Saccharomyces cerevisiae S288C: one gene and its partner. Changing the gene in region 1 together with any one later gene gives a genetic interaction. Each region holds a gene or a part of one and is shown on either strand. Other genes may lie near its edges. The genes, in order: DAL80 and SIP3.

Region 1 (3,203 bases):
TTCAGTAGTCTCAAATACCTTTCTAGCCTCAAATGTATCGGTTGGGAGAAATCGTCAGGTTCGTCAATTAAGTCTTGTAAATGTTTCATTTTGACGTTATCTATATTAAACTCAGATATTTCAGAAGATGATAAAGTTTCTAACGATGTAATGTTGCTGCCATTATCGTTATTGTTATTTTCCGATGTATGAGGAGCTGAGGCTGCAGAGGATGGTTTATTTTCTGCTTTTTTCTCCATTACATTTCTTTCTTTAACCATTTCTTTATAATGGGGGAAATGCGGAAGTTGTAACGAATGATATCTGTTGTTATCACTATAAAGCTTGCTTATAGTGAGTTGTTGGAACGCGACGATTTTCAATTTGTGATGTAGTGATTTGATATCTTTATAACTTCTTATAATAGACCATTTGAGCCTGTCTTCATCAATCCCATATTCCAAGTGTATTCTAAATAAAGAGTTTTCGTTCCTGCTATACATAAATTCCGCCACATTCGAAGAAATGCTTATAATGCTGGAGCTCCTTGGAATAGAGGGTCTCCTATCAGAATTCTCGCCAGTATTGTTGTTGTTGTTACCACGATGGTTATGGTTGCTATTGGTAATATCCAAAATGTTGTTGTCATTTTTCAAGGGAGACACTCTTACATCTAGTTTAGCTAATAGCAGAGGAGCCCTTCTCTTCCCATGTTCGTCTCTCAGAAATTGCGTGCTTGCGAACAATGAGGCCGGGCATCCTGCCAATAACGAATCTAATAAATCAGAGGCTAGTCTTTGTGTGTACAAATCTTCTTCGTTTACTTGTTGATGCTGGTGCTGGTTATGACGATGGCCGCTTCCAGCCGGTGTAGGAGAATTTACGCTGGATTTCAGTCTACCAATAGCAGAGATTTTCTTAAAAGCGTGGCCAAACTCTTTCTTCCAGCCATTGAACTGCTGTTGGGTGTAAGCTACAGAAGAAGAACGCCTTTGAGGGGCTCTTTCTTCCTCTCTTTTAGAATTCCGCTTAGAATGAACATTATTGTTACTGCTATGGAGATTGTTGTAGAGCCGGTGCATATTTTCCTCATCAGAACCTCGACGAGGATCATGTTCATTAGAGTGCATAATATGGTCTAATGAGTGGTTCGGTGACACATCACTCAGGTTTCTATCTACAAAGGATTTGGGCAATGCATGCTTCCTCTCCGCCTCCTTGCCGTTGGGAGTTCTTCGTTTTTCTCTTTGTAAACTGCTAGTCAGATTGCCATTCTCAGGTAATTGCCGCAATACTTCTTGGTTTTCTAACTCATCTGGTCTCGAATTTACTCTATCTACTTCTTCAGTCACCGATCTATCTGCCTGAGGTGGAGCGAAGTGAGTTCCAGACGCTGTTGACACGTTAGACATCACCCTTGTTTATCTATCCTACCTTTTCTTCTTGCGTACGTGCCTCTCAATGCGTCGTGTGAATTATCAGTGACCGGTCGTGCCTATAATGTCCTGCTAATTTCCCACTAAATCTTTCCCCATGGCGTATTCATCGTTATGTTTGTGTCTTTTGTTCAACCCAAAGGGCTGTAGCAATCTTCACCCGTTTGTCGTTGATAACGAGTTTCCACCTTATCACTTATCACTAGTGCTAATCAAACAGCAAAGAATGCTTGATAGAAACCGATCCTGGGCTTATCTCGCTGCATTGTGGCGGCATCCCTGGACTGTAATCAGCAAGTGTTGCTTAGTATATATATACATCCAGCGTCAGCTTGAATTTGGATACAGTTACTGTTTTTTCGATTTTCTCTTGGTTATTCTTTCTGAGACAGTAGTAATTTTGTATTACTGAGCGGGATATTGTTTATCTGCCGTCATACTATATTACATTATATTATATCATATTATATATAAGAGAATGGTGCTTAGTGATTCGTTGAAGCTGCCCTCGCCTACACTTTCAGCTGCTGCTGGAGTGGATGATTGTGACGGAGAGGACCACCCCACGTGCCAGAATTGTTTCACTGTCAAAACGCCCCTATGGAGAAGAGATGAACACGGTACTGTTCTCTGTAATGCATGTGGCCTCTTCCTGAAGTTGCACGGGGAACCAAGGCCTATCAGCTTGAAGACGGACACCATTAAGTCAAGAAATAGGAAAAAGCTGAATAACAACAATGTGAACACTAATGCCAATACCCATTCTAACGACCCAAATAAAATATTCAAGAGAAAGAAGAGACTGCTTACAACTGGTGGTGGTTCATTACCTACGAATAATCCGAAGGTTTCTATTCTGGAAAAGTTTATGGTGAGCGGGTCCATTAAGCCACTGTTAAAACCAAAGGAAACCGTTCCCAACACAAAGGAGTGCTCCACGCAGCGGGGAAAATTTTCTTTGGACCCCTGCGAACCTAGTGGGAAAAACTACCTCTATCAGATCAACGGTTCAGATATATACACGTCAAATATAGAGCTGACAAGGCTGCCTAATTTGTCAACATTATTAGAACCCTCACCTTTTTCAGATTCCGCTGTACCAGAAATAGAACTAACTTGGAAGCTACATAATGAGGAGGAGGTAATCAAATTGAAGACCAAGATAAGCGAATTGGAGTTGGTGACAGACCTATACAAAAAGCACATATTCCAACTGAACGAAAAATGCAAGCAACTGGAAGTGGAACTACACTCCAGAGCTTCAGTACAATCTCACCCACAACATTAAGAAAGGATGTAGCGTTCATGACAGTATAAATATAACAGGATATAGTATATAAAATTTAATATGATTTAGTGACACTTATTTTTACGCGAACGGGTAACACACTGCCATTTATCTGGTGCTGGAAAATTGCCCCTAAAGAAATGATAAGAATGAAAACGAATCAATGTGAAAGCAGTTTGATGAGATGTGAGCTACTTTGAAAGTATAGGAAGTCAGACATCGCACTGAGAAATGTCACGTAATTCTGCAGCAGGTTTGGAAAACACTCTTTTCCAACTAAAGTTTACATCAAAACAATTACAAAAGCAAGCCAATAAAGCCTCAAAGGAAGAAAAACAGGAAACTAATAAGCTCAAACGTGCTCTTAATGAAAATGAAGATATATCTCGTATATATGCATCCAATGCTATAAGAAAGAAAAATGAAAGATTACAACTGTTGAAGTTGGCATCACGGGTGGATTCGGTCGCATCAAGGGTACAAACCGCCGTCACGATGAG
Region 2 (3,934 bases), on another chromosome or scaffold:
GGTAACTCAGTGCTTTCTCTAATGGCCTTAATTAATGGGATAGACCTGCGTATTTCTTCTTCCTCAGACGCCTGAATAGAGTTAGGCCTGGTAGAACACCCTCCAACGTCGATGATGACGCTCTCATGCAAATATAATGCGTCTTTACACAATTTAATGATATCATTCAATTGACTTTCAATGTCCGCAAAATGCTCACCTCCATCGGAAAATGAATCTGGTGTAGCGTTGAAGATAGCCATGATATATGTAGGTGAAACAGTAATTCTGTTTGTTTCTCCAGTAAATTCGTCAAGTTTTGTAGCGGTCTTGAATTTCAAAAATCTAGGCTCCACACCACTACGATAAGGCAATGGAACTAATTTCCATAAGGTATCTTCATCATGCTGTTTGTCGTATAACTGTTTTAAATGGTCTACAATGGGTTCCGCTGTCACAGGATGAAGGTGAACGGGGGATATTAATTCACATAACGGCTCAAGAACGAAAGTCCTCTCCAGCATTCTAGGATGCGGTATATTCAAATCCGGTTCATTTACTATAATATCTTCTCCGGCGCTATTCAAAAACATAACAATATCCAGATCTATTGTTCTCGGACCATTATCAAAATGCTTGACTCTTTGCAACTCTTCATATTCAATTTTTTTACACAATTTTAATAATTCGCTTGGGGTCAGTAATGTCTCCACCTCAACACACCCATTCATGAAAGGGGTTTGATCTTTGAAATACATTGGTTCACTTTCAAAAATAGACGAAATATTCCGTAATTTAACCGTTTTTTCCCTTGATAATAATTGCAACGCCATTTGAATGTGTTTGAAACGGTCCCCAATGTTTGAACCAAACGCTAAAAACGCTCTTTTCCATGTATTTTTACCCTCAATAGGAGTGTTTTGTGATGAAGACAATTGGAACTTAATATCAGACGATTCATGTATGGAGGAAAGATATGGAATATTTACCATCGCAATCTCCCTGGGCTCTCTAATACAGCTTACACCAACACCTTCTGTGGCTGTGATTGCGTTTAATTTCAAAACCTTCACCACCAAAGGCGAATCTGGAAACTTTTGAAAATACTCGTTATGGGCAATAACAGCTGACACAGATTCTACAAGAGCTTCCACAGTCTTGAAATTTGATTCCTCCACAAACTTGACAACGTTATCAATTATGCTTTGCACTGGCGGTGGCAATTCGGCTTTCTTTGGCCAAGGCAACTTTATATCCAAAGTTACATACTGTTTCTTAAGTCTCTCAAAGGTGAAAACACCAATCAAAGTCAACATTTTTAACTCAGATATCCTAACAACGTCAAATTCCTGTGATTCTGGATTCCCTCTTTCTTGTTGAATAATACAAGATATGTGGTCACTTCTAATATGCGTTGTATCCGCCTGCACTTCTAAATTCAGACACTCGACACCAGAATATTTGTCCATAACAAATTGAGACACAGATTTAGCCAAATTAGAAACAGAACCCCAATTCTTTTTTTTGCTGACGAAATTCGTCAAATCACGAGAAATAACTGCATAATTTAGAGAATATTTCAAATCATCCGTAGCCGCAGATTTACTAAAATCTGTACCCATATCTAAGCTTAGTAGACATTTCTGAGGCATTAATTGATTCCAGGAATCAGGCCCAAGAACTGTATTCATCTCTAGTTTCTTAATGTGCACATAATCTCTCATGCCGCCTAGTGGTACACTATGTCTTGCAGAATTGACAGTAGAAAATAGCTTTGACATAGCCAAAGGCAAAGATTGAAACTTGTTAATCAAAGAAGACGCTATCACTTTTACTAATTTTGCATTTACTAAAGGAAAAAACCTTGTTCTTCTGTTTTCGATGACCTTGCAATTTATCATAAGTTTTTCAAATTTTCCTTTTATTATGAATTTGCGCAACGACACCAGCGCTATTGCTAATGCGTTCAAAACAGGGAAAGTACACGTGAAATTTTAAACTACTAGGTGTAACTAAAACATAGCTGCATGAGTAGACCTGTTGATCAATTGACATATTGCAGAGATATATCATTACTTGAAATATGTCCGTTCACGGGAGGGATCCCAAAAAGAGGCAGTTAAGGCTAATATCGGTTGCATTCAAAGAAGCATCAATTGACTCTCCTTCCTTTCGTGCATCCGTAAATTTCTTCCAAACAAGGGTGGATGCATTAGAGGATTGGATAGAGAAGACTGTCGACTTTTTCGATCAGAAATATAAGGTGTCATTTGAAGATTTTCGAAGAGCAAAGGAAACTCTCCTATCCCAATTGTTACCTCCTCCAGCCTTGCTGAGCAACGGTTTTGTCAGTAACCAATCGTTTACTCCCAGGCTGATTGATAGTTTTAACAAGGACTATTATGACTTTTCTATGAAATTACTGCAAATTGTAAAGGGTGATGACTCTAGCCACTCAACCGCGCTATTAGAACTTATGACTACTGCAATTGAACCCTACAGAAACGTGAGAAAAAATTTCGATTTTTACCAAGGTAAATATGACAGTATGCTGGCATCCTACCAGGCTATAAGAATTTCAAAAACCAGTTTAGAGCCATCTTCTATCAAAAGTGATGCCTTACAATTATTTGAAGTGCAAAAAAACTACCTTAAGGCCTCCCTAGACCTCATAAGTGCCATATCAGCAGTAAAATTAAGCTTAGATAAATTCATACTAGAGTCAATGAAAGTATTAAAGTCAAGAAGCATTTTTATAACGAAAGATTCTGGAAGGAAAATAGATTTATCTCCTTGCATTAATGAGTATTTAGACAATTACGCAATATGGGTAGAAAATTCCATCGAAGGATCGAAAGTATTGGATTCTGATATCAGTAATGCAAAAAAGCAAGCATATAGGTATACCTTGAAACGAATTACGCCGTCAAGTGACACAAGTGATTACAATATAAGATCAATACATTCCTCGAAGCTGCTATCAAAGGATACGCAAGTGCCTCCAAAATCGCCCGAAAAGTCTGGGTGGCTTTATATGAAAACACAGGTTGGAAAGCCTACCAGGGAAATATGGGTGAGAAGATGGTGCTTTCTGAAAAATGCAGTTTTTGGTATGTTCCTTTTGTCGCCATCGAAGACCTACGTGGAGGAAACTGATAAGTTTGGTGTCTTCCTTACTAATGTGCGCTATGACCCAGAGGAAGATCGAAAATTTTGTTTTGAAGTAAAAATATTTGGTAATAAAGTAACAGAGGCACATGATAACATGTCAAAGGATATCACGTTGGTCTTTCAAACTTCAAATTATCTAGATTTGAAATCATGGTTAATAGCTTTTGAAGCGACAAAAAAGTATGTCATGAGTATACAACATGATAGTCTTGAATATGAGCTGGCGTTTAAAAGATTTTCTCCCAAGTTTTTTGAATTTGCCTCTAGTACAACCACCTCCATAGATCAATTAATCACAACATTTGACAAAGAAACCGAGTCCTTGTATGAAACGCTGAACTGCTCAATCTCTGAATATGATATTTTGACTTTAGGAGAGGAGAAGGTGTTTCAGTTCCAAATGCCAACAACACCAATATCTACAAAAATGACACAACTGGCTATTCTGTCTAATTTCCTCACAAAAGGTAGCTGGTTCCCTAATGCTGTTCTTGCGAATATATGGGGCACGACCGATTGGAGTGAATATACTATATTGCCAGGAAAGGGAAAGAAACCCTCCTCTTTATTAACGATCGATGGCAAAAGGCTTCCAATAAGAAACTCCACTATATATCCTCAATATTATTCTAATGAGTTGAAAGTGCTTGATCTACAGTTCAAGTCATTAGTATTTTCTCCGGACCAAAGGTTGGAGAAGCTACCGGAAGAGCTTTTACTTTTCAAGTTTGAAGCATTGTGGTGTCCTAACAAAAAGCAGAAGTTCTCAGCTACCTGCTTTTGC

The links.
Region 2: mutations in DAL80 (region 1) and SIP3 together harm fitness more than expected from each alone (negative genetic interaction), as found in Saccharomyces cerevisiae (one large-scale study listed by BioGRID).

Annotation. Positions count from the first base shown.
Region 1 is NC_001143.9:505,005-508,207, forward strand, and holds DAL80 (Dal80p), read left to right. Parts: upstream 1-1,893; coding exon 1,894-2,703; downstream 2,704-3,203. Other genes in the region: SPO14 (phospholipase D), read right to left, coding at 1-1,391; YKR032W (uncharacterized protein), read left to right, coding at 1,513-1,827; DID2 (Did2p), read left to right, coding at 2,935-3,203. UniProt on the Saccharomyces cerevisiae protein: Negative regulator of multiple nitrogen catabolic genes including the allantoin pathway genes.
Region 2 is NC_001146.8:162,449-166,382, reverse strand, and holds the start of SIP3 (Sip3p), read left to right. Parts: upstream 1-2,062; coding exon 2,063-3,934. Other genes in the region: trifunctional dihydropteroate synthetase/dihydrohydroxymethylpterin pyrophosphokinase/dihydroneopterin aldolase FOL1, read right to left, coding at 1-1,760. UniProt on the Saccharomyces cerevisiae protein: May be involved in sterol transfer between intracellular membranes.